Drosophila melanogaster: one gene and its partners. Changing the gene in region 4 together with the main gene of any one other region gives a genetic interaction. Each region holds a gene or a part of one and is shown on either strand. Other genes may lie near its edges. The genes, in order: Rab8, Rab30, jus and para.

The links.
Region 1: of para (region 4) and Rab8, changing one suppresses a phenotype caused by changing the other (phenotypic suppression), as found in Drosophila melanogaster (one study listed by BioGRID).
Region 2: of para (region 4) and Rab30, changing one suppresses a phenotype caused by changing the other (phenotypic suppression), as found in Drosophila melanogaster (one study listed by BioGRID).
Region 3: of para (region 4) and jus, changing one suppresses a phenotype caused by changing the other (phenotypic suppression), as found in Drosophila melanogaster (2 studies listed by BioGRID).

What each region holds. Positions count from the first base shown.
Region 1 is NT_037436.4:19,863,693-19,872,791, forward strand, and holds Rab8 (Rab8), read right to left. Parts: upstream 7,387-9,099; 5' UTR 6,813-7,386; coding exon 6,689-6,812; intron 5,867-6,688; exon of another isoform or gene 5,835-5,866; coding exon of another isoform or gene 5,816-5,834; intron 5,737-5,815; coding exon 5,676-5,736; intron 5,616-5,675; coding exon 5,411-5,615; intron 5,173-5,410; coding exon 5,032-5,172; intron 4,954-5,031; coding exon 4,861-4,953; 3' UTR 3,796-4,860; downstream 1-3,795. Other genes in the region: Usp32 (ubiquitin specific protease 32), read left to right, coding at 7,702-7,762.
Region 2 is NT_033779.5:7,026,698-7,034,427, forward strand, and holds Rab30 (Rab30), read right to left. Parts: upstream 5,910-7,730; 5' UTR 5,540-5,909; intron 5,481-5,539; 5' UTR 5,409-5,480; coding exon 4,737-5,408; 3' UTR 3,796-4,736; downstream 1-3,795. Other genes in the region: CG31908 (uncharacterized protein), read right to left, coding at 27-80; MME1 (mitochondrial magnesium exporter 1), read left to right, coding at 1,114-1,230, 1,291-1,723, 1,793-1,969, 2,030-2,202; caper, read left to right, coding at 6,268-6,321.
Region 3 is NT_033777.3:29,190,027-29,198,070, forward strand, and holds the start of jus (julius seizure), read right to left. Parts: upstream 4,968-8,044; 5' UTR 4,862-4,967; intron 1-4,861. Other genes in the region: CG14515 (uncharacterized protein), read left to right, coding at 7,608-8,041.
Region 4 is NC_004354.4:16,522,461-16,530,614, reverse strand, and holds the start of para (paralytic), read left to right. Parts: upstream 1-3,200; 5' UTR 3,201-3,338; intron 3,339-5,199; exon of another isoform or gene 5,200-5,393; coding exon of another isoform or gene 5,394-7,313; exon of another isoform or gene 7,314-7,648; intron 7,649-8,154. Other genes in the region: Cnx14D (calnexin 14D), read left to right, coding at 5,394-7,313. UniProt on the Drosophila melanogaster protein: Mediates the voltage-dependent sodium ion permeability of excitable membranes.

The DNA of each region.
Region 1 (9,099 bases), on a different chromosome or scaffold from region 4:
ATAGCTTGTACTTTAATAGGTATATTTTCAAGAATCACATATTTCCTCTTTTTTGTTAAATTAAATCTTTATACCCTAGTTCACGCAGCTGGGATCCTCGAATAGTGCGATTTCCTGGAGAATGCCTATAGGAAAATCCCCGAAATTCTTGGTGCAACATATTGTTTTTAACCACAAAACAAAACCTTTAAAAAAACTTCTGACCAAGACTCAGAAACCGCACATTAAAAAATCACTCGCTCAATCACTCTAACTCGACTTTGCCTTAGGTGATCCTTTTCGCTCAACACATCGCCTGATACAATTTGGTATAATTTTATTATATTGCATATTATCCTTTTAAGGTGATATTTTACAGAATCACAAAATAGTTAAATCAATCAAACGATTCATCTGATCAGAAAATATTTTTCTCTTATTTTCTTACCGCTAGCAAGCGAGTAATCATACTCCTTGCTTCTCCTTTGAGAGCGGTTTTTAAATAATTAAACTTTAGAGATGTGCTCAAGACAGAGAGTCAAGATAACAGATAATAGGATAAAGTCTATTATAGTCAGAACATAGTTCTCTGTAAGGGTCATGCAACTCATGGTTAGATCTACAATGATTTAAGACAAGCGGTATATAGTTTCTAGTAAATCTACTTGGAACACAGAAGTTAAGCCGACTAACCTAGTCGGGACTCTCAACTTCACTTCACGAATAAGCTTAAAAATAAAGACTGTTCCAAGCATCGTTCCACGATTAGCTAGGGAAGGTAAATTAAATAAAAGTAGTCTACTGGAATATGGAGGTAATATAAGGTTTGCATTCCAATTTAGGCGCCGCAAGGTAAATAGTAAGAATTTTTTTGGGCCGATTCAATGCGGTCCGAGTGGACTCCAAACAGGTGATCCGTACTCTAGAATCGGACGGACTAACGAAATAAATAAGGCTTTAGTCAAGTAAGGATCATCAAATTCCTAAGACCACCTTTTTATAAAACCAAACCCACACCCCAGGCCTTATTGACAATATGATATTATTCGAAATATGGTCAGAAAGTTTTAGTTTAGGGTCCAGAAGAACACCAAGATCATCAACCCGTGTTATTCTGTCCAAAGGCCACCCGACAAAAGGTCATAACTTTACACTTGGAGCCATTTAAGTCTAACACTTTATCACGGCACCATATTTGAAATCTGTCTAGATCGGATTGTAAGTTCAAATGGCGCGAATTGTCCTTGTGCTGGAGGCATTATTTAAAATCGTCTGCGTACATAAGTACACGCGAATGTTTTATTATTAAGGGGAGGTCGTTAATGAATAAGGTACAAAGAAGCGGACCAAGATGGCTCCCTTTGGGACACCGGATGTGACTCGGAGAATACAAGATAAAGAATTTTTAAAGAGGACTTGTTGCGACCGGCCATTCAGATAGCTTGAAATCCAGTTTAGAAGATCAACAGTGAAACCTCAAAGATCAAGTTTTCTTATTAGAAGGTGATGATTAACAGAGTCAAAAGCTTTACTAAAGTCAGGGTAGATGACATCTGTTTGAAGATTATTTTTGAAGCACTGTATTACGACAGAAGTTAGCTCCAAGAGGTTAGTGGTTGCTGATCTGCGTTTCGTAAAACCGTGCTGACACGATGATTGATCTACAATACAAAAGTGCTGCAAATGAGGAGTGATAACATTTTCAAACAGTCTTGGGATAGCCGACAATTTAGAGATTCCTCTGTAATTGCTTGCATTCAGTTTGCTACCTTTTTTATGAAGAGGAATCACAAAGGACTCCTTCCATATATGGGGGAATTGTGAAGATTCCAGAGATAAGGTAAACAGTTTCAGTAGAGGCTTGCACAAGGCTTCCGCACAGAATCTGAGCGGAACACAGCCAGGGATTCCATCGGGACCTGGCGAATAGACCGTTTTAACACGCTGAAGATCGTTAAGCAGTGAGCTTTCGTTTATAGTGGGGCGAAATATTAGATTCGATCTTAGTCGACCGCATAAGAGTATGGCTGTTCGGAATGAGGTGAAGTTGAATATGTTGTTTGAAAAAACTTGGCGAATAGATCGGCTATTGCCTGATCCGATGTTACCGTAGTGTTTTCAAAAAATAGCGAAGAAGGGTAAGAAATGGTTTTTCGCTTGGTGTTAACGAAATTATAAAACTGTTTCGGATCCTGTGCGAACTGGAACTTACAACGGCTTAAATAATTCCTGTAGCACTTAGCATTAAGCACGGTAAAGTTTAAGCGAGCGCTTAAATATTTAGAAAGGATGGACTTAGAACCGTATTTTTAAATTTTGTATAAAGTCTGGACTTTACATTTCTTAGGTGTTTCAACTCTTTATTAAACAAAGGAGGTTTAAGGATTGCCGGATAGTACATCGGAACACAAGAGTCAAAAACGATTTAATTGCGGTATAAAACATATTAATGGCATCCGTCATTATGTTGCAAGAGTAAGGATCGGACCAATTAAAGCCAGCTATAAAATTGTTTGCCTTGCGAAAACAGTGAATTCGCTTGGTTGACTTCTCCGATTTTACTTTTAATACGGTACGGTGTCGATTGTCACCTCGAAAGTAGGATGATATGGATCTTCAGGTTGAGTAAGATGTGCTACCCTGGACAGAAACACACTTTCAGGACTTGTTACAAGACATAGATCCAACAGTCGACCAAGAGAGTTTCGAATATAATTAACTTGCAACAACGATAAGTCGAGCATAAAGTCATGTTGTGCTAAAGGGAGAAGAATATTCGATTGTTCTTCTGGGACCACATTATGCCAGGTATATTAAAATCATCTAGAACTACCAATTGGTCCCTGTCAGACAGTTTATTTGAGATGGATTGGATAGCGGACAAAGTATTCAGATATTCTGGGAATTCAGAAGATAGCGGAATATACGAGCACATAATATAAACTGATCTGTCGGAAAATGACAGTTTTACGCATATGATTTCTGAGTTATGGGATTCGTCAAAAAGTAACTCTTCCAACGGGAGGGTAGATCTAACCCGTTCCCATTTGGAGGGACGGTCATAATGTGTACATATGTACGTGGGAAGACTTCGGAGTTAAATCCCCGGCTTTAAACAAGTCTCTGAACACTATTATACGGGATGCAAAGGAAAGGCTATTACAATACAATTTGGTTAGTTTGCTACGCAAGCCTCTAGCATTTTGATAGGAAGTAGTAAGATTAGTTAGTTTTTAGTTTAGTTTTAGATTTTTGAAGAAGATGAAGAGGCGGAGGGTGCAGTGGTCTGGCCATGTGAGGGATGTTTAATTCCCACGGGCTCTTTTTACAATTTTTAATTAGCTTAGCTTCGAACTCTTTTACCACCATATAATAAGAACTTTACGGGACTTTTCTTTAATTTTCCACACAGATATATAAATTTATGATGCCCCATAATGCAACATGATGTCTCGTCGGTATGTCAACGATTAAGCTATGATTCATATTCATAATCCTCTCCATCCGACTTGGGTCATTGGACATGATCCAGATCATTTAAGAGTAATCCCTGATCGAACCCTGAGCGAATAGACTTACCCACAAACTGGTATTGGATTTCTTAAGGTCCTCTCAAGTGTACCTGGGAAACCCAGTGCATTGCAGCATGGACATTTTGTATAAGTTGATAGTCCTCAGCCCATACTCTACAATGCTCCACAGCACAATCTGTCTACGCGACTTTGGGTCCGACGCGTCGAACTCGCCTGTCTCTGTTATGACAGAAGCTCAGCGCTACGAAACGAGCCATAAAATCTTTTCAAATAAAAAGTTTTTGGTTTTGCACATGATTTATTTTTATAAAATTGTATACGTTTAATCATTAATATTACAAGTAATTAATTAATATCAAATATGCAATTAGTTATCATTTAATTTCACATTATTTATATTACTGCGCTGTGTATGTGTTCATAATTGTTTATTGCTGCCGATCGATTCTCATCGATAGACTACCTTTAATTGGTGATATCTCGCAAATCTGCAAATCTTCGTTAATGTTTTAATATTAGGTGTAACGTTTTATTGACAAAGTCATGTGGTGTGCGGCAAAGAACAAAATAAATAGAGTACGAACTAACCAAATGAAATGTGTGTGAAGATTAAGAAGAATATAATAAGCACCCTCGATCTGTGCGATACTACCACATTATATTATATAAAGTTAGGACCGGGTAGGGGGAGGTGCGGGGCGGATTGGGCTGTTTTACACTTTTGGGTCATTGTGCGTCTGGACCTCCTCCGTCGTATTCCCAACGTAATGGCAAAAGGGTTTCTGAATCGATCGAAAGTACATACAAGCAATGAGCAAAACAAGGACAGGTAAACTAATCATATGCATACATAGTACATACAATATATTTGTTTTACAATTAATAATTTACAAATCGACAACCATGGCTGCTAGAGAAAATCATAATTCCGTAAATACTAAAACCTCTTCGAGAAGGACGCGGGCGGGTTGGATTGGCTGCTCTTCGATTTTCGCTATCGCTGGATCGTTTTATCTTTAAACTTGAGTTATATACGTATATATGTATACATATTATCATGCCTAGGTATATTTCGTACACGCTGTCGTCATATACTTTATTTAATAACTGTTTCATAATGCAATTTGTGTTCTATTCCATTATCGCGCTTATTCGGTTAAAGGGAGCCGGCTGCTGATTGATGTTTAAGGTTGATTTAGATGTCAGTTAATGTCCGCTTGTCGGGGTCCCGCTTGTACTCGAACCTAACAGGAGTTAAGAAAACTACTACCTCGTAGTTACCACCATAAACCACTACCGTGTAGTCGTTGCCACCATGCCGCTTCAGTGCCGAGCGCACGTTGCCACGTCAAAGCAGACTGCACCTGGACAACCAACTGTCCTTCGTCCGACTGTCCATCGGTTTCAGCTGATGGCCGCCCTTGGGTGGGTTGTTCGCCTCCTGCGCACACAAAGGATGTAAATGGTTAGCCACAGTAAAAAAAACGCTTTGTCCGAGTCTCGCCACCCGCACACTCACCATTCGCTTTTCCGTTTTCGCTTTGATATCACTGGCTAGGGTGAGGAAGGCTTCTTCCACGTTAATGCTGGCCTTCGCGGAGGTCTCCATGAACTTGATGCCATACTCGATGGCCAATTGTTCGCCGCGCTCTTTTGAAACCTACAACGGGTGGAAAATTGTTTAATTATCGGCCTTAAGGGCAGATAGCTTTATGAAGCTGAAAAGAATATTGCGCCAAATCATTGTCTATCCCTTATTGGATTTAATAACAAATGATTATACACTAACTGAATTTGAAATATATAAATAAAATGTTTGTAGATAACTTTTATGGAACAAACAAATAAACGAACTTGGAGGAATAGCCAGCGAAATCACCAATTTCTTTTTTCCATACCTGTCGCTTATCGGTCAATTCGCACTTGTTTCCCAGCAGCATTTTCTCGACATCGGCGGACGCATTTTCCTCGATATTCCTGATCCAGTTTTTGATGTTCTCGAAGGACTTTTCTTGGGTTATGTCATATACCAGCATGATGCCCATGGCACCTCTGTAATAGGCCGTGGTGATTGTGCGAAAACGCTCCTGGCCGGCAGTGTCCCTGGAAAATGAATGGAGATATAGGTAATTAGAGAATACAGATGAATCGCCTAGTACTTACCATATCTGCAGCTTAATCTTCTTGTTATCTAATTCAATTGTTCTAATTTTAAAATCGATACCTGAAAAGAGAAAACAGATGAGCATATACACACATGTACGTTTGCTAATTAATTTAAATAATTTGGCAAGAGGCTAAACCTGTTTGGTCGGAACCCATGACATCGCAGCTAAAATAAGAGACGAAGAGAACCGAAATCCACAAACCACGCAATTAATTTAAACAATGTCGTTAAGTAAATGCCCCAAAATTGGAAGTGTCGCGATGAAAACGTGCCAAAAACGAAAATAAACAATTATTAGCCACGAGCAGAAATGGGAATCGCTCTACTTTTGTGTTTACAAGTACGGGAAAGTACAGTGTGCATGTCGAATATTATTGTGATTATTATTTTAATAAGCTTAAAATTACTAGCATAATCTGATTTAACTGCCACTTGAAGTTGTACTGATTATGATTCGAATTTATTAAAAAGTATTTGCTGTGTTTGGTAGAAAGGCTTCACTGTACTCGTACGGGAACAACTACTTGAATTCCCTCTGAGACTGGGCATGGGCCTGCTGGGTATATAATAGGGCATTCCCGATTTGGCGTGCGACGGTCAAGTCTCGCATCGGAACAATCCGGCTTCTGGGGCGATAAGAGCAGCGAAAGTACAAAGACTATGGGTACTCGGACTGAGTACTCATTTCTGATCGCTTTCCTATGCGGGTGTGAATCTCAGGGCGAGATAAGGCATCCGGATATATTCCTTACGGGAAAATCTTAATAAGCGCGAGAAATCAAACATGGTGGGAGTGCCCCTCCCATGGAAACAACAATATTTATGACAAATGCGCCCGGATGGGGCAGGAAATAAAAAAGAAAAGAGGCATTTAATGAGTCACTGGGCCAGAAGCTCGGATTTCCAATTGCGAATGAGTTCATGCGAACGAAGGTGTTATAATTAATAACCAAAAAAAAAAAAAAATTAAGAATCGGAAGACACGGTAAACGCGGATGATGACACTCACCTATTGTGGATATAAACGTTGTGTTGAAGGCGTCCTCAGAGAATCGGAAGAGGATGCAGGTCTTGCCCACTCCGGAGTCACCGATCAGGAGCAGTTTGAACAGATAGTCGTAGGTTTTGGCCATTTTGTGTGCTTTTGCGGTAGGATCACAGTATCTGGCCCGATAATAGTGCTTAGCTGGGGGTTAGGGTACGGGTTAAGGGTGATGATGCTCTGTACACGTCGTCGTCTCCTTAATCAACTGACTGACTTCCTCTCCGATTCTTGGCTAATAACACTAATCACGATTATGCCCCATGCGTGCCGTTTAGCGTATGTATGTACATATACACTATACCCAGACGTAACCGCACTAATCCACAATCTAATTGAATCGACTCGAATCGAAAACGTATAGTTTTTTCCTTCTCTCCGCAGCGCAGCTCTTTTTCTCTTGGGTGTGTGTGTTGTGTTTTCGATTTCGGAGCCGTGTCAAAAATGGCGACGTAGATTTAAGACCTTTTTGTTGTCTGTGCCCGAGTTTCGGATTTCGTGCGGCGGCTTTTCCGGTGGGCAAATGCAAAGGCGCTCGCTACGCGGTGCGAGTCTACGTTGGTTTGTTGTGAAAATTACGTGGAAATGAAGTTAATTACTGCTTTCTAATTACGCCCGTACAAAAAATATGAGTTTCGATAATTCGTTGCTGCGCAACACTGGCGCGCCGTCGTCTATCGATAGCTTATCGTACGATGGGGAAAACAGCTGTTTCCAGTTAGTGTTGGAAAGTGCGCGAATATAGAAAGAAACAGAGGAAAATAGCACAAGACAAGAGTCAAAAAGACAGGTGTATATTATATATTCATACACATATATCGTCGTGATCCTGCACCTGATCCTCGCCAGCAGCCTATTGTTCCGCCCGCGACTGTGAAGTGAAGTTGAACAAATGTGAAAAGTGGCGTCGCCAGACGCAGCAGCAGGCGGAGCCCCAGAATCCATTGAGTTGCACCCCCGCAAACAAGAAATTCTGGACCATGGGCACCAAGGAGTCCAAGCACTCCAATAGCGTCAGCTACGAGGATTCGGTGAAACGCGGTGAGTCTCCTCCGGCTGGTTACTTGTGGGGCCGTCTCCCAGCCGCAGAAAATAGGTCACTGCCAATCAAGAAAACAGAACCCCCTGCGAAAGCAACAACAACGTACAAGCAGGTGCAATCGATTCCATTGTGTTGTTGCGCCCACGTCTTCTGACCAACGGGAATCACCACTGACTTCCGCCACCACCATCCTCATGCTCCTCTTAATCCTATCTCTTGCAATTATCTACTGCCATTCCAGTGTGGCTTCTTTATTGCATGTGTTTTCATGTGCATGGGTATTTGCGTCTCCGCCGCCAATGACGTCACAATAGAAAAGCTAACCGAATGGGGTGGCAGTTGGAGGTGTGCGCTGTGTGGGTGAGAGACAACAAAGCAGCGAAGGCACATGAGAAACAGTTAGACAGCCAGTGGAGTGCAGTTCACGCTTAGGGTGACTGGAATGCGCGGATGCGGATGTCGCTGCGAATACGATTCATTTCAAGTTCAGCATGTCATTCCAGTGTTCATTTCAATTCGCACTCTATGGGCAAAGGTCTTCTGTTGAAGTATTTTATAAAGAAGCCTACTTTAAAATTTTTTTGTTTATAATGAAATGAAATTATAATGAAAGGGGAGCATTTTGGATTTCGATTTTCCAATTGGAATATCCATAAGAAAAATGTTTTAAAATAAATAATTCATTGGGCTTTTAATTCTGCATGTCATTTCCTTATTTCTTAAAATTCCTCTTTAAGTGGAATATGTTCAGATAGGAAAAGGAATTACTGTGTTTAAAACAAGCTGATAAGCCAAAAAAATAGAAATTTATTTACAAAGTATGAAAATCGGAATGTTCACTCTTCTCCAAATATTTTATAATAATGAACCAGCAATAAAATTGGTAATCATTCAGAAGAGTTAAGATTATTTAAGCCAACTTGTATACCCATTTTCGGCCCACTTTCAATGACGTTTAGCTTCCCTTAGTGCTTTTCACTTACTTTATTCCGCCTTCCCTTTGCGCTGGCAATCATCTAAATGCTGGTGTTGTTATGGTTATGGTTGCTGATTTGTGGCCAGGCGGCCCAGCCAGAGTTAAGAAAACGAGTGTCGCTGATAAGGCTCACTCCCCCGGAACACCAGCACTCCGGACCACCCCTCCACCACCCACCATCACTGGTGTGGGGCGTGCGACCGGGTGCGTGTGTTTCTTATTAGCCACTCCAACCGGTTCCAGTAAAACCAAGGGGGAAGTGAGGACTAGCATGCAAGTATGTGCGCGGTGGTCAATAATCGCAGACTCGAGTTGCAGTTAACATTCAATAAAATGCCGTTTCCGTGACGTCGCATAATT
Region 2 (7,730 bases), on a different chromosome or scaffold from region 4:
TCAATCACATCGCGTGGCGCACTCACCCCATCCTCGTCGATTTCCTCCCAGTTGTCTAACACATCCTCGCCATGGGACATCGTTCGACAAAGCACGTTGCTCGACTGCTGCTAGAATATATACTTCGGGTTTCGGTTGCGTTTTCGCTCACTTTCTTCTCTTGCGCCTGCTGCTGCAGCTCGCACTCTTACTGATACATGATTCCTTCGCACTTTTATCAGACATAAGTTATGCGTATGTTGGCAAGCACACTTTTTTCACGAAATTCGCACCCAAGAACCCTACTGAAAAAACAAAAAACAATACGCAACAATTTGGCCTGCTGCTAATGTCGTTCTCGTTGTTGTTGTTGTTGCTTTCCGTGGGCTAGTCTTCTTCTTGCTTATCAGGTCACAGCAAAAGTGACAGGTTTTGTTCGTTTGCACGGGAACTGGAAAAGTGGTTGCACTTTACTGGCCCAACCAGCACTGCGCCAGAAGATACTTGGCCCACCCACCTTTGATAGCCACACTTGTTAACCATTTATTTTTAACGCTTTATTAATAAAAGAAGTGTGTGGCCGCCGCCCGCGTTTCCCTGCGAATGTCGATGGAAATTTGGAATCGCAGAATGTCCGATAGACTGTGTAATCGAACGGGAAATTTAAAATTTGTTTTGCATGTAATTTTCTAACAATTTATTTTATTTATAATGACAATGTCGTGCAGAGCAAACTTTAAGTTATAAAGCTTGAAACGCTAAAAAGAAGAATGAACATTCTGTTTAATATTTCGATTGACCATGTCATACTAATGACTGCAATCGATAGCTGAATGTTAAGCCAATGTTAGGTGTATGTTTTGTTAACATGATAAGCAAATCAGCTGTTCCCTCTGCAATTTTGGAACAGCTAATGAAATATTTGAAATAGATAAGAGGCACTATTGATCATGGAAATTATAATACCGCGCTATTCGGAATCACACAGCATTATCATAGGTCAGCAACCGCGCAGCAAGCAGATCACCAAGCGATAGCGTTCATCAGGAAGCCAGCGATCTTCAAGCACGTGCATTTCGTTCAGAAGCTGACGGAATTTCTCGGCGTGTTTACGTAAATAGTTAAAATTCAGCAATGGAGGAGGTCGAAATCAGCACAGAAAAGAAATCCAATCCCGTAAAGTCATTTATTGCGGGCGGCGTGGGAGGCATGTGCAATGTGCTCGTTGGCCATCCATTGGACACAATAAAGGTGAGCTTCAAAACTGTGTTTACAAATGGAAACGATGTAATGCTTTAAGTTCCACTTTAGGTCCGTCTCCAAACCATGCCCACACCTCCACCTGGACAGCCGCCGAGATACAAGGGAGTCATAGATTGTGCCGCCAGGACATTTCGTTATGAGGGTTTTCGCGGATTCTACAGAGGAATATCCGCTCCACTTGTGGGAGTAACACCCATCTATGCCGTGGACTTTGCCGTCTATGCGGCGGGTAAACGATTGTTCCAAACGGATGACCACATTAGGCTCACCTACCCACAAATCTTCGCCGCGGGAGCCTTGGCCGGAGTTTGTTCTGCCCTCGTCACAGTGCCCACCGATCGTATAAAAGTCCTTCTGCAGACGCAAACCGTGTCCAACGGACCTCTGCTCTACAATGGAACCATTGACACGGCCGCCAAGCTATATAGGCAGGGTGGCATTCGGAGCCTCTTCAAGGGAACATGCGCGTGCATTCTGAGAGGTCAGTTGTTAATTAATTGCTTAATATTATAGTATATATAATAGTTATGGATAATTTTAAAATTTACAGACTCGCCCACCGGTTTTTACTTTGTGACCTACGAATTCCTACAGGAATTGGCTAGAAAGAAGTCCGCCAATGGAAAGATTAGCACCACATCAACTATTCTGTCCGGCGGAACGGCGGGCATTGTGTTTTGGACTTTGGCCGTGCCGTTCGATGTACTTAAAAGCCGTCTCCAGTCGGGTGAGTCATCCAATCGCCAATCGCTTTAGTTACAATGATTTATAAATGCCATATTTTTAGCACCTGAGGGAACATACAAGCACGGCATTCGCAGCGTTTTTAGAAACCTCATGGCCACAGAAGGCCCAAAAGCTCTATTTCGCGGTATCCTGCCAATTCTACTTCGTGCCTTTCCCTCCACCGCAGCAGTTTTCTTCGGCGTGGAGCTAACCAATGATTTGCTGAAGGCTTAAATTTAAGAATTTGTATTTCAGAGAGGCTGTTTAGAATATTAAATATTGTTTACATATGCGGTTGAGTTTGCTTTATTTGGATTTCTGATATTCTATAAACAAAATGTTTGAAATATTAGCTATGCGCAGTAACCGAGGGATATTAATGGATTTTTAAATATAACGCCAATAATTGGTATCCGATTTTAAAAGTTAAATATATTTTACTTTACATGCTAAAGTATCTTTACGGTTTAGCTTGGCTTACATTTAAAATATACTTTACTTTACATGCAAAAGTATCTTTACGTTTAAGCTTAGTTTCGATTCATTCCAATTGGATGTGCAATCGAAAGCTTTTAAGCGGAACGAACAGATCGACAATATTAGAATTGGAAGTGCAGCGAGATAAGTACTACTGCTTTTAATCAGAAAACTACTTGCGGAGAAAGTTGGACGCTGGCGGGTCGCGCGTTTACTCCTATTTCGTTCAATTCGAATCGATACCTTTAAAAACACACCGGCTTCTGTGCGAAAAACATTTTGGTGTTTCCTTGAATATAATACGTTTCCTGAAAGAGACGTTGAAAAAAAACACTTGGAAAAACGGCGATAGTTTTTCAAAACTATTATACGCCCTGTATTTGAATGATCTGCCCGAGGAATTGGAGGGCGGAATCGACATCGATGGCCGCCGTGTGAATGTCCTAATGTACGCTGATAGGATCGCAATACTTTCCGAAAGTATTGATGATCTTCAGGATATGATCAACCAGCTGGAAAAATACTGCACCAAATGGGACATAGTGGTGGACATGGACAGGTCGTGTATAATGGTCTTCAGGAGAGGTGGACGGCTTGCATTGACTGAGAAATGGTTTATAACGGGAAAGGAGATCAAAACCACAAGCACTGCAGAATTTCTCGATTTTTTGCTCACAACTACACTCAACACTCCAGAGATACTCCACATAATAGATTGGAAAAATTGGATGATTAGAGAAGATTGATGAATCTATACTTGCTGCAAATGTGGGGATACGAAAAAGTAATGCAATTCAAAGCTCTGCAAGCGTTTTATTTAAAAAAAAAAAACCACTTGTTTCGAGTGTCCCAACCCTAATAATCTGATAAGAGATGCATTTGCAGTATATTAAAAAACTTTATTTTCCCACAATGAAAATTCGATCGGCCGATTTTTAACTCTTAAAGTAATGAAGAAAAACATTCTGTGGGCTAAAGCACTTAATAATATTTGCAGTACCTATAACTTAAGGTGGAAGAGCTATTTGAACTCAGAATCGGAGTGGAACGATTTTTGCACGAAATTATTAAGGTGGTTAGTTAGATCCTGAAATCGATGGGATTTTTTTTTTTTATATGCATTATTGTACAAAATACTGTTTTAAAAACATTTGTAATTATTTATCGGCTAAAAGTTTACATTCCAATTATTGTGATATTTATATAATAACAAGATATATATTGCAGCTTTTTTAATCAACAACTTTTTCCGCATTCGTAAAAAGTTGATATACTTAATCAACATATTTTATATTTTACTCAGCTGTAAATTAATCAGCTGTAAATTAATTAAACACTCTTTTCCATTTTACTTGTATTTAGTTTATTTTTTATTCAGCTTTCTGGTCTATTCATAGTTTCTAATTCTTAATTTTTGGAATGTCATAAAATCACCTTAAACACTATTACGAATATCATTTAAAAATTGCATTACCAAAGATTGCACATTAATCGTAAAAATATGTAAAAATAATTGCAAATAAATATGCATAAATTGTGTATGTATACAAAAAATGTAATGTATAAAACATGCAATACTCCTTGGGAATTAATTGAAATAAACTAAATGGTGAGTCTAGCATTTTTGATATCATAAATTCTTCGTAGCATTGGCTGTGATGCTCACTTGGTAAACGATCCATAATCAGATCAATACATACGTCTATATAATACAAATCAAGAAAATCAGGCGGTCTTAAACACCTCCAATGGAGTTCTTGTAACACAAATATTTAGCATCCTTAGTCATTGACAGCTAGTTTCCCATAGGATCTTAATCGTGATAAATAGTAAATTAGTTTTTACAATCAATTTCTTTCTGTAAACCAAAGGGGATACAGAAATAATCAATTTTTTTAGTCTTGTAATTAAAATAATAAACCCTTAAGCATGAACAGAATATCACGATAACAGATAACAGATTAGCTGCACAGTTTCCAGATCCGTTTGCACATTGTACTTTAAATGTTTGTTGTTATCGTAGTTTAGTGAAAGCGAAGAGAATTGCTCTAAATACCTTTACATTTAAAGGTATTTGAAGCCGATGTGTTTTAACAATCTAATAGGAATCGTTACAAAGACAAAGGCAAACGATCACGTCATAATCATGCTTATAAAAACAAAATTTAACATATGTATGTATGTGTTAGAATGTGGGAGCATTGTGGTAATAAAAGATAAATGGAATATCACGATTAGTCCTTAACAAGTTACAGATTAGCTGCTCAGCTTCCAGTTCAGTTTGCAGCTGCTCAGCCGCCTTGACTAGAGTTGGAGCCGCCGCTGGCGAGTCCGCCACAGCAATTGCTCTGCGCTGCCTTGGCACTGAAGCTCCCCAGTCCGATGGAGCTGCCCTCCGACTGACGCTGGGCGGCTGCCGCTGCGGCCGAACTACTGCCATCCTTGCTCCTTGCCTGACCAATCAATTCGGCGGCAATCTCGTAGAACAGACGCTCTACATTCTCTGCCTCCTTGGCGGATGTCTCCAAGAAGTACATGTCATGCTGCTTGGCGAACTCTTCGCCAATCTGGGTGGGTATCTCTCGATCATCCCTGTCCGTCTTGTTACCCACCAGGATTTTGAGTACCTTGGAGTTGGCATACTCCTGGATCTCGCGCAGCCAGTCCGGCAGGCAGTCAAATGTGGGCTGGCAGCTGATGTCGTACACCAGGATCAAGGCGTGAGCCGATCGATAGTAGCTTTGCGTGATGGATCGGAACCGCTCCTGGCCGGCGGTGTCCCAGATTTGTAGCTTGATCTTCTCGCCCTCCACCTCCACGGTCTTAATCATGAAATCCACACCAATGGTGGCACCCTGGCCAGGTGGAAATAGACCCTGAGTAAAGCGGCGCACTAGGCATGTTTTTCCAACACCAGCATTGCCCACCAGGACGATTTTGAACAGGAACTTGTAGTCCTCCATTGGGGATGTTGCCAAAAATGGGTTGGTTTTGGGGTTTTTGAGTCGCTGGGTGTGGGCAAGTGTGTGTGTGCTCTGCGAAAGTAGACGAAAGTTAGTCGGAGCTTAGACACACCTAGTCAGCGACGCGTAACGATTATACTTTGCTGGCTGGTGGTGGTTCGTTGGATCAGCTTACGCCATCCCCAGCGAAGACAACGCCTCTCACCTGTGGCTCACCTGGGGCTCTATCACTAGCTGGCCAACGGCTGTTCGCCTTGTTTTTTGGCTTATTTGGCTAAAAGATGATGACTCAACAGCAGCTGTAGATGCTTGTTACTCGCTTATCTATGCGAATCGGCCCCAAATCTATTCAGCAGGCTTTCGGCCAGGTTGACTATGCTTGCAAATTTGTAATCAACTGGTTGCATGCTGCCGCATTAATTGCCAGCCTTAATTTTGCTTATGTTTACCAACAGAATTTTACTGTATTTCGACGTGATGGTATTTGATTAGAGATGTGACATCAATTCCCATAGCAATACTTAACGATGTTTTTCTCGGTATCGATAGATCGACGTTTTGCAAAGCACTTAAAAACTTTTTGAAGTACGGTCACTAGTTATCGATTGTTCATCATCGATAAGTTCTGTGACAACCCTGAAGCCGAAAACAAGCAGCCACGCTAGAGAAGAAAATCTGGTTGAAAATTGGCAAAAATTCTAATTAAAAAATCGCAAAAGCCAAAAGAGAAGTTCGTAAGTCGTCCTACGAATTCCGCTGTGCGTCCCCACCACATTTTGATTTCTCCAAACGTGCCAGACACCGAGCAGGGGACTTTTTTCACGGAGCACCCCGAATTGCAGCGAAGTAATTTTCGAATATGGCCGAGGACTTTGATGTGGAGGCGATGCTCGAGGCGCCGTACATGAAAAACGTAAGTTCCCAAAGGCCGGATAACAGCCAACTATCGTTTAAATTAAGTCCCACTGGCTTTTGTGCCCACCCAAGGCAATTATTTTGCTGTGCAAAAACAAAATGAAAAAAAATAGAAAAACAGTTACTTCATATGTATGTTTGTATACTTCTTTTCCCACATAGACACCCACAGGCGTACGTGCATTTTGTGTTTGTATGTAAGTCGTCTTCGTCTCGGGCACACACACACACACACACACATGTGCAGTCGATGCATACTAAGTGGTCTTAAATCGATTTTTAGCCTAATTTTGCTGTTTAATAAAAAATCGGCAGCCGGAACGCCAATCTGCGTGCTGATTTTCGTAATATTTTTTTTTCACACTAGACTGCGTTCATACAGAAAAGTGTTTCGCCAACGGAAAATCTGTCTGTGTGTGGGTTTGTGTTGTTTATTTTCCTACGCGGCATTTGATACAGTCGTGTACTGCAGTGGGTGTACAGTGGGGTGCAAAATATTTGGCAGGGCTGCAATAGCAACTGAAAACGTTTAACAAGTATCAGGGAAACTTAAAGGATTGAATTACTAACAAGACAGTCATGATTCTGTAAACTATAAAAAACAACGTATTTTAGTGATATTTTATATCTCTTACTAAACTTGGACTTTAATCTGTATTATTGACTGAAACGGATTTTGTAGCAATTGGTATTCCTCTTATCTTATCTGGGCAAACCATCTGTAATAATATTTATTAATAGGTTAAAACTCAGCCATATGAAATCATACTTGAAAAATCTCAATATATTATAAAATAATTTGTAGGTTAGCAAACCACATTTTTCCGTAGCATTTACAAATGCAATTTTCGGTGTGTTGTGGAATAAATCTAATAAAATTATCATTAATTAACCCAAAACCAAAATCAGCATTATTGTCCGACAGCTCGCCAAGGTTTTAGTCAATGTAGTAGTCTATGACATCCAGCTAAAGTTGGAAATTAATTGAATTGAATTCTTTCGCCCCAAACCAACAACTCATGAGTTCAACGCTCCTATTTCTTCCTATCTGCTGTCTCACTAAGAACTACCGACAACTACCCACACACAATCACCATTAAAAAATACAAAAAAAAAAAAAAAAAAAAAAACCAAACAAAAATGCTAGAATAATTCTTAAGGGTGAAATGTCTTTGCAGAGAATCGAATAAGCTCAATATTGTTGCTAGAGATTGTTTTGGTCATTCTAAACACAAAAAGCTGGAGACCATTTGGTAAGTTTTGAATGTGCCAGAAGCTGCGAAAAAAAACCAATTACAAAATTACAAAACAATAAAAAAAAAAAACCAAAACATATCTAGGCATTTTGTATAAAATATGATTTGTTTATGTTTGCGTTTTTTTTTTATGAACACAATCCAATTGAAA
Region 3 (8,044 bases), on a different chromosome or scaffold from region 4:
TATGCCCCATCTGTGCTGCTGCCCCATGCAATATCAACCATACGCCCCGTGTGCAGCCAGCCAAAAGCGAACCGAATGAGTTAATGAGTTTCTAATGCACGCAACGAGGCGTTCAGTGGGTGATTGTAGTAAATCAGATATGTCAGCATGTCGCACACCAGCACGTTGATATATTTTCTGATTCATCTGATTCCCTTTGGTCTGTGGGAAATTCAAAGCGGATATCAACCTGTGTTCGATCTACTGCGCTCCGCTTTTATTCAGCCGTTGATTTGCGGAGGCAATTTAAACACAATTTCCCCGAACAATAGAAATTTTAGCCATTAAATTCGCTTGCCATGCAGAAAGACATCAAGAATGCATACGGCGTCGCATTCGCAATTCGCAGTGAAATTCCCAATCCCGTATCCAGTGCACTTTTACGTGTCGAACTAACGATGAATGTTGCAAATTATTTCCAGCCAGACAGGCAGGCAGATGGATATATATTTAGGGCCAAACTTTACGTTTCAAGATACCCATGGAAAGCCATAAATAGTTCAAGGAATGTGCTGTACCAAAAAGATACTTCTTTCTATGCAAATTTTTGGTGCATCTCTTAATACTTTCATCATGTGAATTGATGATATACCTCTGCGAAGTTATCAAAGGCGATTATCTGGATATACCCAATAATACCCATCGATTTCTGCTCTCGGCATGCAAATCTTTCGCTTTTTGCAGTCGCTCGCCGGATGCAACTGCGGATGTGGATGTGGCAGTGCTGGGATGAGATGCGACGGAACGGGAGATGCATTGGGTTGGGATGGCGCCTCCAAAATGAATCGCCTGAAAGTGCTGCAATATTTAACATTTGCGTCGTGTGCAGGCCACGTGCGAAAAGTGGGGCTTTGGGCGAGTGGCACATATAGCCACCAATGCGGAAGGAAAATGCGATTTTTCCAGGCTTAGTCACTGGAATCCACAAGCTCTGGAATCCATTTAGAGCGGCGTGAAGTGGCGCTAATCGAGTGCCGTTGGATGGTCATTGGTCATTATAATGCCTGCAACGCGCACTCCATTGATCACGCACGAAAAATAAAATATGTGCCGCTTGTGTACTATAAATAGAACATGGTCTAAAAGGTGGCATACACTCAGAGAAATAATTGCTATGAACAACCTAATATCATAGCTCTGGCGAGTAATGTTACATCTAACTTTGAAGGAGACAGTTAGTTAGTTATTTGTTTGAATGCAGATATTATAGCAATATCGCTATTTATATGAAGTATGCCATTATAATTTCTCCCAGTGCACGGCTCCACAATCGCTGAGCCAAGTGTCGGGGGTGATAGAGTGGCATATGCACTTGCCATGACATGGTTAATGTGACAACGACTGTTTGCACAGTTTGCTTAATATTCCACACGTGCTGCCGCACATATAAAGGACTATGTGGCTGTACACATGTAGGATAATGAGGGTGTCAGAGGTCGACTTTTCGACTCCGGGCCACTCGACTCCTCGGTTCTGTGTCATCAGCGAAACGGGGCCAGTCGACCGCTGGCAATTTTATTATTTATCCTGGAGGTGAACACACACACACACCCACACACACAGCGAAAGCCCCAGAGATGCGGCATTTAGTTATCCTTAAGCTACTTAAAGGACAGCCTCACCTCAGCAAAATTAATTAGTGCACTTAAGCTAACCGCGCCTATGGGAAGCGCTGTCAGCCCTCGAAAGATCTAGAAGTATTTGCCCGAAAATTAAGTATACGCCGTGGCTAGCGCTGTACTTCATTGGCATTCATGCGCTGACCCACCGCAGCAGCCATTTGCCAGGGGAAAATCAAGCAGATAGTTTCGAGCAAAAGGATTCAAATGTCGAAGCGAAACGATTTTCCAAGCAGCCAAACAATTTATCTTCGCAGCGCCGGCGCTGGCTGGCCTATAAAAATGGCAATCATTATTATAGTCATGTACCAGGCAATGGGGCGTTACGGCAATCAACGCCAGCGTCCCCGCCAGAGCTCCATAAATAAGCGCGCAATTTCAATTTTCAACAACGCCCCAAAGGAGCTCATACTCGAGCTGAGGAGGAGCTGAAGAGGCCCGAGAAGCGAAAACCGGAGACAGACGCAGGCCGCATCGAAGATTATATGGTATATGGCTTATATGGTAAATGGCAGGCCGTGGTGTGTATTTAAATGCATTTTTTAATAGCCATAAAGCGGGCAGCTTGTCGGCCTAAACGGGAGGAGCACCAAATGCCAGCGGGCGCACTTAAAGGCCTCCTCCATGCGGATTTCGATTGAGAGTCCGCCTTGGATACGGATACTTGGCCGGGACAAGGACGAATGCGCAACTAAAACAAGAGAAGCCTCCTCGTACGGGGAACGTCGTATATAAATTATAAACGCAAACTGTGCGACAAGGATTTCTGGTTGGGTTTTCGGTTTGCTATACGGCATGTCTGCTCTTTCTACTTCTTTTTTTTTCAGTTTTATTTCTGCCGGTCGACATGCGATTTCGATGGCAAATGATTTTGCATTTGCCTGAGCGGTGGCGTGGGGCTGTGGGGTGGATATGGCGTATAGGGCGGCAAATCGAAGCATAAACGGGCATGCCACATGGTGCAAGTCGAAGGTCAAGGGTCATGCCGGCAGTCGGATCTCCTCGAAATTTACTGCAACACTTGCCGCCGGCGCAAAGGCATCACATTGTGGCATATATACTTTAGTTGTATTTATAGGCTGGATGGAAATTGATGACGTCTCCATCGGCAACGCCCCCCTGCCAGCCACATATATCCTCGAGATCCTTCGGCTGCGCGATGTCATGCCGCATGCAGATTGTCGTGCAGCTAGTAGCGAAGTAACTGCCACTGCAATTGGAGTTAGTTCACTGAAAGAAAGGTGATCCTAAAGCGAATGATATAGAAACAGAATATCGGAAAATGTAACCAAGTAAAGGTTTTTAAATAGATAGAAGATAACTATCCACTACTTTCTTCTGAGCTTTGCAAATGTATCTCAATCTAATCAAGGGTTTTAACTTCTTCCAAGTCTGAAAGATTCTTTAAATGCAGCTGACTTGTTCGTGATCACAGTTACACCCTTTTTCTTCAAGTGTTTGCAACGGCAACTGCCGCAAAGTCTGTGTTAGCCGGAATCGATCCGAAGGAGGAGCAGCGCAACTCGAGTCCTTATAACTTCACCTATACTGTGCATGTGCACATTCGCCAAACTCTGTGTGTATATGTGTGGCAAGGCGAGTGTGATGGTGTGAGTGGAGGCCAGACCATGTGCCTATGCCGTATCCTTACGCCTATGGATATGCCACGCGATGTGATTGTGAATGCGAAAATGTGGCGACGTCGAGGGAAAGTTGTGCTCCCAGCGAAGTTCGCTTTGGTTTGGTTGGGTTCGGTTCGCAGTGGTTTGGCTTGGCTTTGTCGGGGGGGGCTGCTGGCCCCAAAGCTTCTGGGCCAGGATGACGTAGTCCTCCGGCTGAAGTGTGTTAGTATGTCTGCCCTTCCGACTTGGGGTTGCACACACACACCAGCTCACAGCGTATCCATACAGGCGCAACGAGGGTGCGAAGGGGCATTAAATGGTTCGTGTTTTCCCTGCCCTTTTTCATATTTTCATTTGTGCCTCATCTCGCCCGTTTGTCGCCCATATTGGGGTCGCCTGACGGTTCGTACTTTAAAAGCGCCATTTAGTTCGCGCGCAGCCTAAATTATTAAAAGCAAATCCAACACACCGCACACAGGCAGTTCATTAAATTCAATGTATGCAAAATAGCGGCAACAAATGCGGCAAAAGGCAATCTTCCGCCACCCACCCACTCGGCCATCCAGCTGTTGTCATTTTCGAGCCACGAGCCTCAAAAAAGAAACAAGTTTGCGAGGCAAGCTCATCATAATCATGTGCCTTCCAAATGCAGGCGGAGAAAAGTGGGACACTTTTGCAAGAAAAGATGAGAAAATGTTTGAATTTCATCAGTGCTATGATGATATTTCACACAAATCATACTTATATACATACGCAGCAAGTCACATTTCACGAATGACAAATTCCATTGCCTACTTTTAGGCACTACCACAACTTTAGGCACCACATTGCTTTTAAATAGCCATAACTTTAAGATCTTTTATAGATTTCTGATTAGTTCAACTCTTTTCTGGTTATGAATTGTGTTTATCACAGTTTCCCCCCACAATTTGAAACTACTGCAGCGAGTTTTCGCTGCGTGTAGCAACTTTGCTGCGCAAATATGTTTCGCCAACTTCAATTTGTGTCCCAGGTAGTAAGTTTACCGCTGTGTGCGTATGTTTGAGGGGCATGCCGTGTTACTGTTGCCATCGCTGTGTGTGTGTGCGAGCTTGGCTTTTTTATGCGTCACGTGAGAATTTCCTTTATTATTATTTGACTTGGCTACCTCGGTACATATCACGTATACGCAACGTATAATTCCGCAGAAAGGGCATTGATTTTTTTGATTTGCTTTCAGTTCGGTTCGCCATTCCCCCCTTTTCGTTTATTACTTTGATTGCTTTTCACTGTTTTCTTCGTTTTATTTTTTTGTTTTTCTTTTTTTTTTGGTTTGAGGGCATGGATACGCTGCAGTTTGTGATTTTCTTTGCCCTGCTCAAGAAGAAAAATATTTGCTTGCCATTTATGTATATTCTGTTTTCATCTCGTTTTTTTTGTTGTTGTTTGTGTTTGGCACTTTTGGGCATTCGTTTTTTATTCTTGTTGCACGCTGTTCGGTTCATCACCACATTCACACACTTACACACTCATTCACTGACTCACACACACACACACACTCACGCGCGTAAGAAATATACTACTAAAATACAAATTGCTCACAATTTCCTTTGCTCTAGATAGTTGTTGTTGCTGCTGCTGCTGCTGCCTCGCACTGTTTGCTTTCCCACTGGATTTTCTCGGAAAACTCGACGACCACGCGCTTCGACGTCTGACCACGTTCTGAGCCGAATTTCCCACAGCCTTGGTGGAAAATGCGAATGTGGCGTTGGTGAAAAGTCTGCGAGGAAAAGTCACCATCAGGCGGCAGCCGCTTTTCCTCTCACAGGACCTGCGCATTTCCCGCCTGCAGGTGACACACTTTTCCGCGCCAACCGTCGCCGATGAAGTGGATTTTTCGACCCCTCCTCGGGCCACCGCTCCATCCCCCCCTCTGAGCCCACAAGCTCCACTATTTACATGGCACATCGGTTTAAGGCGGCTGGCAGTTTTCCTTCGTTTGCCCACTTTTTTCGTACTTTAGGTTGAAGTAAATTTCGCATGCATTGGCCGGAGGATGGATGCACTGAAAGAAACACATTACCAGCTTGCATATTATATATATATTATATATAGATATTAATTGATAAAATATTTAGCTTACTTATATTTTTAAACTCTATGATAATGGCATGACTTGATGCGTTAAAGTTTTGTAAATAGTGTATTTTATATATAAAAAAAATCAAAAATATCAAACAAATATGAATAGATTAATTCATAATAAAATGAAATTCTATAATATTTTTAGTATATTTTTCTCTGTGTAGCGTAACAAGACCTGGTGTGATGTGGCGCAAATGTCATTTTCAATGGCCGAAAATTTCGGTATGCTGCTGCCCAGTGCAGGGAGTTGAAAATTCGCATTCGCCGCATCCATAATGGATGATATGTCCTTTCGGCCCGCTGATCCTTCGGTTAAAGCAAAGCCACCGGGTTAACTGACCTTTGCAGTGCGGCCAACTTGAAATGCAAATAAGCGCCAATGTCCAATTGTAAAGTTCAGCAATCTAGAGTATTATTTATCACGTTTCAGCACAAACACATTGCCAAAAGCAAACAATTTAGTTTTGTGCGCAAAAGTTGCTGACGCTGGCACGTGCAATTTGAATAATTAACCGAACATTTTAATTAATGAAACAAGTTTGGTATTGACTTGGCCCAAAGTGTGAGTGCGTGTAGATACACACACTAGCACTTAAAAGTGTGTTTTGGCCCGAAGTGTTGTTGGTCATTTGCGCATTTATTAAATTAGAATTTGTGTGCCATTCGGTATGCTGTTTGCAGTGCTTGTGAATAACAAAAAAAAAAAAAAAAGATAATTAAAGTGAGCAGAAATAATTGGGCACTTTATTTATATTTTTTATTTAGTTACCATTCTAGCTATAAAATATGCTGCGAAAATAGGAATTATAAAACACATAGCTGTGTTGTGTGCCATTTGTTATAGTTTAATTGATAATTATTTCGCATAATTATTTCTCTTAATGAGTATAAACACTATTTTAAAACATTCCGAACAATTTATAAATGAAAATTTAAGCAAATGCTTAAAGTTAAAGAACTGACTTAATTATTCCATTTGTATTCCAACTGACAGCAGCTGTTGCAATTATCCCCCTTGCCAAAAACTAAAGTGAAAATGAGGTGGTGGAAAACCATATTCCACGAAGGAATGGCGTTGGCGGATCCCAGAAAGGAAACCGCCGACTGAAGCTGTGAAATGCGAAACGCAGCGGTATCAAAGGGGGAAAAGCGAACTGCCAGAAAAAAATCACAACTGAGAAATCAGAAAAAGGAAAAACCCAACCGGAGCCAACTCAATTCAGCGAAATCAACGCCAACGGCGGCTGCCTGTCAATTAAAACATTAAAACGCGCTGAAAAATGCAGCGAACAGGCGCAAAGTAAACAAACTGCGGAACATGTTGCAGTGCGGACAGCATTTTCCAACATTTTCCAACATTTTCAGCGATTAGAAGCATAGAATTTCGCAATGGAGCACTTAGAGCAGCACCAGAGTTTCGGGCCCAGACCACCAAACCGAGCAAAGAAATCCGATTCGTCGACCAGGGGAGGGACTAATGTGTGACCCAGTTTGGATCACTGTGCAGGAAAGGAACTCTGTGTGTTTTGGCCATTTGCTTTTTGATCATTAAAAACTGGTTGGCCGCCGCCAGCTGAGCGCCCCACTACATTTGCGGTCAGCTTAATAGCACCGCTGCGGCCATAAATTAGTCAAAGAAAATCTATTGGGATGGCAGCTGGCATCTGTCAATGATTTATTCTTGACACATCATTCCGTGTTAGTTCTTTTAAGAATTAAAAACCAAATAAAATAATAGTAATGATTTACGGTTGGGTCTTAGTGCAATTGTTTAGTAAATAAAGTTATCAAAGGCTATTAATTACTATTTATCATAACAGTTGATCAACAGCAAAGAGTTCTGGAAGAAAAGCGTGGAATATTCGTTTATATTTTTGCATATTTTTGAATATTTTTTTAAACAGTACAAATAACTTTTTAGAAAAAGTTTTATCGTAGTCAAGAAAAAGATGATTTAGCGCACTGACTTCTCCAATAGCTGGCTTTCTTGGATAGCTAAACGCTCCTATTCAAACACCCCCGACTGTGGCTATCTGTCCACTTGAACCGCCCGCCCATGTCTTCGGCGGCAGCGTCGCTTGTGGCATTGCCGCTTGGGTTTATAAGCGGCCGGCGATGGCGGCGGCGAGCCGAGTTTCAGCGTCAGATTAGCCGAGAGCGCGCGCGTTTTTTCCCACGATCAGGAAAATCGAATTCCAGAGCCATGAAGGATCGATTCAAGTGGTTGTCGCTGGAGCTGCTCCTGCTGATAGGCGCCGCAGTCGCCTTTCCGGACGGCGCTCCGGCGGACACGTGCGTGAAGCAGCGGGCGAATCAGCCGAATCATGGCAAGGCCCGGAGTCAGCCGGCTCACTCGAATCCGTACGAGGTGGTGGCCGATGCGCAGACCTACCATCCCGGCCAGCAGATATCGGTGGTCATCTACCCGCACTCGGACCAGAGCACCGTCTTCCGGGGATTCTTCCTGCAGGCGCGTGATGCCAACTCGAACGAGTGGATCGGCGAGTGGGTGCAGAGCGAGAACACCAAGACCATTCCAGAGTGCTCGGCCATTACGCACTCGGACAACCGGGACAAGCTGGGCGCCAAGCTCATCTGGAAGGCACCGCAAAATAAGCGGGGACAAGTCTACTTCACGTA
Region 4 (8,154 bases):
ATGTGCCTCTTGCCGAGAACTTGCAAGGACCTCGTCGAAACCGAAAGGACACGCAATTGTGGCCCAGAATCGAAAGCGAAAACTTTCCCTTCCTTGGCCAAAATCTATAAACTTTCGTTTATAAAACGCACTAGCTGTCATTCGTGTGCGATTGTGTGGCTTTCGTGTGGCTATTTGGCTATTTGTGTTGCTTTCGCGACTTCTGGTCGCTATAGAAAACCAAAAAGCTGAAAATATAGTGAAATGGCATGGGGAACACCCGTTAAAGAAAGTACCGATGTGTTAAGACCAGTCCAAATGGGTGTTACAATAACTTTGCGGCTCGTCCAATGCCCAGCGGGTTAGGCCGGTGCCATTCGGCCAACAGCCTGCCACCAGCCTTCCATCGTGCTCACCAGCTTGTCCCGGGGCGAAGGCTCCGCAGGACCCCCATACCATTGCATCCCATGGAGAGGGACGGAAGCCCAGCCGGAGCACCACCAGTCACCAAATGGCAGTCGCAGTTCAATCTGCCCCTGGGTTGTGCGTGTTCAATTGGCTTCCAGCCCCATTGTTGTTCTTTGCTCGCCCTTTGCCTGTTGTTGGCTTTTGGTGTAAAAAATTTACATAACCCAAATTGATGCATAAATAAATTATTAAATACGTGACGTGCAAATGGTCAAAAGACCAAGCTAGCAGCCATCGAGCAGCAAACGCAAGTCGAATAGCATGTGTGCAAGGCTCTGGCCTTTGGCTTCCATTGTGCGAATCCCAAGGGCTTGCAATCAGGACGCAATCCAATAAGGAGATTGTGCTCTCGGTAATATTGCCATCCATATGCGACCTGCGACAAATGTCTTATGTTACGCGAAGATCCTCACTGCGAATTCAATTAGGAGCAAGGCCAAGGTTCATGATCCAAACGAATTCCAAATCATTGGCTCCCATTATGGATGAAACTGTGATAAATAAACATTAGTCCCAAAGAGAAATTGGCAATTTAAAGGTTTCTAAGTACGCTATTGAGTACAACTATTGAGTGCCAGGAAATGATAAGTCCAAACTTATAGTATTACACACTTAAGAATGAAGTCAATTAGGTTAAATTTATAGCAAGCTTAAACGCTTCGAAAACAGTTTCCTGATTTAAAAGCATTATTACTCAAACTCCCACAAAAGCTGCGCGCTTTGGTGACCCCAATCCAGTTAAGACACACACACACACACACACAGTTAAACTCCATTGTTTTCAATTTGTTTATACATATGTATGTACTTGTCCATTTGTAAGGACATTAGGAACGCAGTTCCTTAATGTGTGCAAATGGGTGGGCTGACTGGTGACTTGGTGACTTGGTGACCCCGCCACCGCTGGGTTAGATAAAGTTCGGATAGGATCGATTGGTCGGTGTCCAAGATGGGGGGCCCCGAAAAGCGGGTCAGCATGATTTGCGATTATAGCTGATGCTCCATATTCTCGGGCCACATTAGTTATGAACGCAGTCGGACTTGACTTGACCAGTCCAACTGGTGCCAAACGCCCAAAAATAATGACCCACTGTTGCAATTTTCGGGCAGAGCAGAGCCGTGGAATATCAGCTTGATGACCTAAAAATAGAACAAGTGACCAAAGACAAATAAAAAAATGAGAGTCGGCGATGGCGAATAGTATGTGGCAAATGGCGGAGAATAGCGAAGGGCGAAAGGATAAGCAGCGAAAAACAGGGTGGCAAAGTAGCACAACAAAACCTGTGTTGACAACGACTTGGGTGGTTATATATGGCAAATGCTTTAGGGCGAAAAGGACTTCTCACACACACACAAACACACACACGCGCGAACTGCTTCTGCTCCTTTTCGCGGCAAATTCGGATAAAAGGAAGTCACGGCGAAACGGCGGACAACTGCCTGGTTCGCCCGAAAACGGAGTTACCCAGAGAGGAGGAACTTTTTCAGTGCTCAGTGCTCGACTTTTTTCCGCATCCTTGTGTCCTTTTTCAATACTGCTCTGCGTTTCACGTGCGCGCGAAAATTGCATAAACACAAACAAGCCGCGACTCGCTGCCTCGACATTTTTTTTTACAGTGCATCCAATCCAGTGAGACATTATCCTGCCAATTGAGTGCTCATTTTACGTTTTTTTTTTCGTGTGTCTAAGTGAAAGCCATCAAGTGTGTGAATACAATTTACAAGCCCATTTTAAATATCTATTGAAGAAATATAACAAGTTTAGTAGAAGGAATCAAATAAACTAACGACATAATTCACATAATTGGCACAAGGACAGCAGAAAATCTAACATATAAAAAGAAATAAATATTAAAAAAAATAATTTCAAGCCATTCAAACAATACTAGGGGGTGCTTTTAGTGGGCCATACAAATTATTCGAAATTTTTTCTTCCGATAATATTTTTTTCAATTTTTTTTACATTTCTGTCACCTTTTGTGAATGAGTTTTCCCATCAAATTTTCCAATTTAAGCTGGGTTTCAACAACTTGTTCGCTTTTCCGCAGGCGACGCTGACGAAATTGAAACTAAAACCGAAATAAAATCTGCAAATAATAATAATAATACTATTAGTCATAATACGGAAAACCAATTATAATCATAGCAACAGTTGAGAAACCAAGCCGAGGCAAACTCATTTAAATATCCCAGCCAGGTAGCCAGATACTAGTAGAAATAATACAACAAATAATATTAACATTAACTATAAATAATAAATTGAAACAGCTCTGGGAACAAAACGCAACGTTTGATGAAAATTTCTGGCAACACGTCTTGGTTGTTGTTAAGCACGCAAAAAAATTAAATAAAAAAACCAATTCAAATACCCAATGATAATGCAGATTTAACAAACAAAACCAAAACAAATAAAAGCAAACAAAAATACAAATATAAAAAAAAAACCAAACAAAAAAACCAAAAAACAAAACAAACAACAAATTCATCTTCTACTTGTTCTACCGCTTCAACTTTATTCGTCTTCGTCTCCGTAATATATATATATATATAAAATATACATATATATATATTTATATATATATATATCTATGTATATGTATGCATATGTGTGTGAGTGCGTCGCGTGTGTGTTGGTGCCTGTAAATGTGTGAGCCACAACAACAACAACTACAACAACAGCAGCAGCAGCCAGAGCCACAACCACAACAACAACAACAGTAGTTAACAGCAGCAACAATTCTTAGCAGCAGCAGCAACAACAACAATACAAGCAAGCACGCTCACAACAAAAGCAGCAACAGCAACAACAACCACAATAGCAACTACAGCAACAACAACATCAGCGGATAGAGCGAGCAGCCAGGCACAACATCGATAGACATCGATTAACGGTAGGTAATCGAAGGCAATCGAAAAAATCCATTTAATATGTATTTTATTATCACATTCATTGCACTTTTAATTATGCTAATGATATTTAACCCTAAACAGAGGAAAAAAAATCGTGAAATTTTTTATTTGTTGAGTTTCAACTATTTCCGATACCTTGAATGATTTATTCTTAAGACTAAACGATCTTTCGAGTCTAAAAGAACCACTTTTATGATGAATTCTTACAATTAACACATAGTGGAAATGTATTGAAAATAATTATGTTATCTATGTTAGAGCAAACAGGCTAACAATGTGTTATATTAGAAATTCTCAGCTCTTACTTAACTTACTTCTCAGCTCAAAACAAAGTCATTAATTTACTTTTCATTTTGGTCAAAGAGAACTACATTTTACTGGGTCAATGGTTCAACTTTCATTGAAAGTTTTTAAGAAACCCACATTTGGTATTCCCATCGATTGCAATTTTAATATAGAATACCAAAAAGGGCAATTTACGCTGCACGTCAAATGAGAATTTAGAAAGCAATTGTGTCTTTCGTATGTATTTCAATATTTGAATAGCTAGAAAAGTGTGAACGGAGCAGTGGGCGACTTGATGAACTTGGCTCGATTATGTCATGCCTCCTTGGTGAAAATCCCAGTTAACCAGGCCCGACCTCAAGACCATATCAATGGGGTATCTGCGCCCCTTTTTGTCCCGCCCACTGGCACGCCCCTTTGCTTTTGGGCTACAACCTTTTGCTGGCTTTTGGAGGGCAAACTTTCAGCTGCCACAAAAAAAAAAAAAGAACAGAGCAGAGCAGAGCAGAAAAAAATGAATGATGAAGGTTGAGGGGGGGGGGTGTTTCTAACGGAATTCCTTTGCTCACGCACACATTGAAAGGAGGTTCGTTAAGAGAGAAGGGAACCCAAAAATGTATTGTTGTAGTCCGTGTTTGTTGGCGGCATCACACAGAGAAGTGAGAGCGCAAGAGAGAGGGCACTGGCTCTCTCGGCGCAGGCAGGAGGAGAGTGAGAGTCCTCGCTCTCTCGCCAGCCCATTGCGCTCTCCCATGCAAAATTCATTGACTAACAACATGCTAACTTCGTTCAGTTTTTTGCTGTTTCTGTTTGTTTTTTTTTTTAGTTTTTTAGTCCTTTCCTTGCCATCGAATTTTGTTCAACAATTAATAGGGTAGCAGATATTCTGTGTTATATTGCCAAATCGATACCTTGGGTTGGCTAAGGAAAACGTTTTGCGTTTCGCTCATGTGTTTGTCATGTGTCATTTGCATATTGACACAAATTCCGGCTCGGGTTGTTTTTTATTTCAATTCTTGTTTGCGGTTTTTCGCATGACTCATCGACCCAGCGAATGGCCAAAAATTAATTCGGCAAACAGAATTTTGCGAGTGTCATGAATGGAAACAGACACACATAAATATATGCTCATATTGGCACATCCACTGCCACTCTGTGTGTGTGTGAGAACGCTACCCTATGCTTCATGCCTCCGTGTGTGTGTGAGTGTGGCGAAATATCGAACTGACCTACTTTTATGCTCGATACACACACACACACACACACGCACACACACTGGCGCGCTCACACATACACACACGCAGCCAGATTGGCAAATGGAAAAAGAGTGCTTTGACCTTAGCGGAGGCTGCTTATGTAAGCCCAATATCCGAAGACCGCAGGAACATCCGTAACCGAATCTAGATTCAATTCTCACATTTTCTGTAGTAGCGGTAGAAGGTAGTGTTAGACCGTTTCAAATAAATGAAGTGCTTATAATATTATCTACATTTTAAAAATCATAATCGTATTACCTATTACTAAGCTATCTATGTAAGTCAAATCCAAAATTTATACAAACAAGCAAGCGGCGTCAATAAAGTCATACGCATTAAGGCTCAGTTCAGTCAAGTCAACCACTTTTCACAAAAAATCGTTAAAAATCGTTAATTTCTTCGAACGTCGCTATATTAAAAAAACGCAAGGCTCAATTCAGTCAATCCTTATCTATTCCAACTCTGAGTAAGCGAGCAAGCGAAAAGTGTGTGAAAATGGCTTGGAAAATGCTCTTCGCCATTTTGTTGCTGCTGAGTGCGGCCAAAACCGGCTATTTGGCCCCGGAGTCGGAAAACTCTGTGGAGGATGTGCAGATAGAGCCCGGCGCCATCTATGGCGATGAGAAGTTTGCCTACAAGAGTCCGGTGATCGATGCCGAAAAGTTTTACTTTGCGGATCACTTCGACGACGTGGAGGCATCCCGAAAGAGATGGGTACTGTCGCAGGCCAAGAAGAACGACATCGCCGATGAGATAGCCAAATACGATGGCATCTGGAACTGGGAGTCTCCGCAACGCATCTTTTGGGCAAACGATCTGGGTCTGGTGCTCAAGTCGAAGGCCAAGCATGCGGCCATAGCCGCCCCCTTTCGCCAGCCGTTCGATTTCAAGTCGAACAAGCCGCTGGTGGTGCAGTACGAGCTTACGTTGCAGGAGGGTCAGGACTGTGGCGGCTCGTATCTGAAGCTTTTGTCCGCCGGAAAAGGCACGGAGCAACTAAATCGCTTCAATGACAAGACACCCTATACCATCATGTTTGGTCCGGACAAGTGCGGCAACAATTTGAAAATGCACTTTATATTCCGGCACGTCAATCCATTAAATGGCAACATCACCGAAAAGCACTGCAAAAAGCCAAATGCCCGTTTGGGAGTGCCATTCACGGACAAGCTACCCCATCTCTACCAGCTGGTGGTCCGTCCCGATAACAGCTTTGAGATTCGCTTAGACCACAAGATCATCAAAGAGGGTTCCCTGCTGACCGACTTTGTGCCACCAGTCAACCCACCGGCGGAGATAGATGACCCCAATGACCACAAGCCAGAATCGTGGGATGAGCGGAAGAAGATCCCAGACCCCAATGCCCACAAGCCCGAGGATTGGGACGAGGATGCTCCACCACATCTGCCCGATACCGATGCCGTCATGCCAAATGGCTGGCTAGAGGATGAGCCCGACATGATTTTCGATCCAACTGCCATCGAACCCGAAGATTGGAATTCCGAAATCGATGGCGAGTGGGAGGCTCCTCTGGTGGAGAACCCAGTGTGCAAGAAGGCCCCCGGCTGTGGCAAGTGGAAGGCTCCGCTCATCCCCAATCCCAACTACAAGGGCAAGTGGAGTGCACCAATGATCGAGAACCCCAACAACCAGGGCAAGTGGGCTCCCAGGAAGATAGCCAATCCAGACTTCTTTGAGGATCTGAAGCCCTTCCAAATGACGCCAATCAACGCTGTGGGTCTGGAGCTGTGGTCCATGTCCAGCGATATTCTCTTCGATAACCTGATCATCACGGACGATGTGGAGTTGGCCCGTGACTTTGCTGCCAACAGCTTCGACATCAAGCGTCTCTACATCGATCGTGAATCATTCGGGAATAAGGTAGTCGAGCTAGCTAGGGCCAATCGAGCGATCTGGGGCATTGTCATAGTGGCCATTGCGGTGCCGGTTGCCATTACCATCTTCTGTAAATTTGGTTTAGGCCCGAGTAGGGTTGCGGCTGCCAAAAAAGCTGCTGCTGCCGCGGCCAAGAAGACCGACGATCCTCAGCCCGATGATGACCTGGGGGCCGAGGAGGAGGAAAAGTTGGAGAAGGGGAAGAAGGAGGAGGAAAAGAAGGAGGAGGAGGAGGAGGAGGAGAAGGAGGAGAATAAGGAGGAAAAGAAGGAGGAGGAGAAGGATGACGAGAAGGAGATGAAGGATTGCGAGGAGGAGGAGGATGACGAGGAGAAGGATGACGAGGAGAAGACCGACGAAAGGGCCGCTGGTGATACCAACAAGGAAAGCACACCGCTGTCCGCTAGTCCCAAGAAGAACCAAAAGTCTTATTTAGATAATAACGAAGATGAGGAAGACACATTAAAGAACAAGGAACCTACCCCAAAAAAAAGGAAGCGTAAAGCACTCAAGGAGTAAGCGGGCATCCGTAGTCACTGCAACTCTAAATAAGAAACTAAATCGAATTCCAAGATCCAACTGTTGCAGAGCACCAACAACCAAATGATCAAGCAAACGTAGATTTTAAACATGTTCTAATTTCGCCAAAAGAGCCGACATCTCGATCAAACTACACACACACACACACTATCCCACAAACACACAGACACTATTTCACAAACACACACACACACTCTCCCACACACACACACTCTCCCACACACACACACACACTCTCCCACACATACACACACACACATACACATAACACATCCAAATCCAAATAAAATCGGATTAAAAAAAAAGAATTGGGTGTGAAAGGGAAAATTGTTTGAAGACGGAAAAACAAGCAAATTTCCGCGATCTTTTCGCTGGTGGTAGCATACTTTTCTGGGCTGCTGCTGAGAATCCTTGGCAGCAACTCAAGAAATCGCAGGGATTCCGACTGCAAGAAGCAGTCGCAGTACACTGGAAAACGTGGTTCTGGCGATCCAATGATGTTACTTTACTTTACTTAACACGTGAGCATAGGGTAACGTGCGATATGCCCCAAGGATCAGTATTCGGGCAACTGCTGTGGAACGCCATGTACGATGGTGTGCTGAGGTGGCCACTGCCAGAAAGAACCAAGGTGATTGGTTTCGCGGGCGTTATTGCCTTCGCTGAGTGCCTTGGTAATGCATCTAATTGCACCATATACTTACTTATATTATCAAACATAAAATTTATACGAACAAGTAAGGGTCATAAGTAAATTCATAAGCATGAATTGAGCCTTTAAGTTAATCTTTATTTTTCCCAACTCCCCGTTTAAAAATCG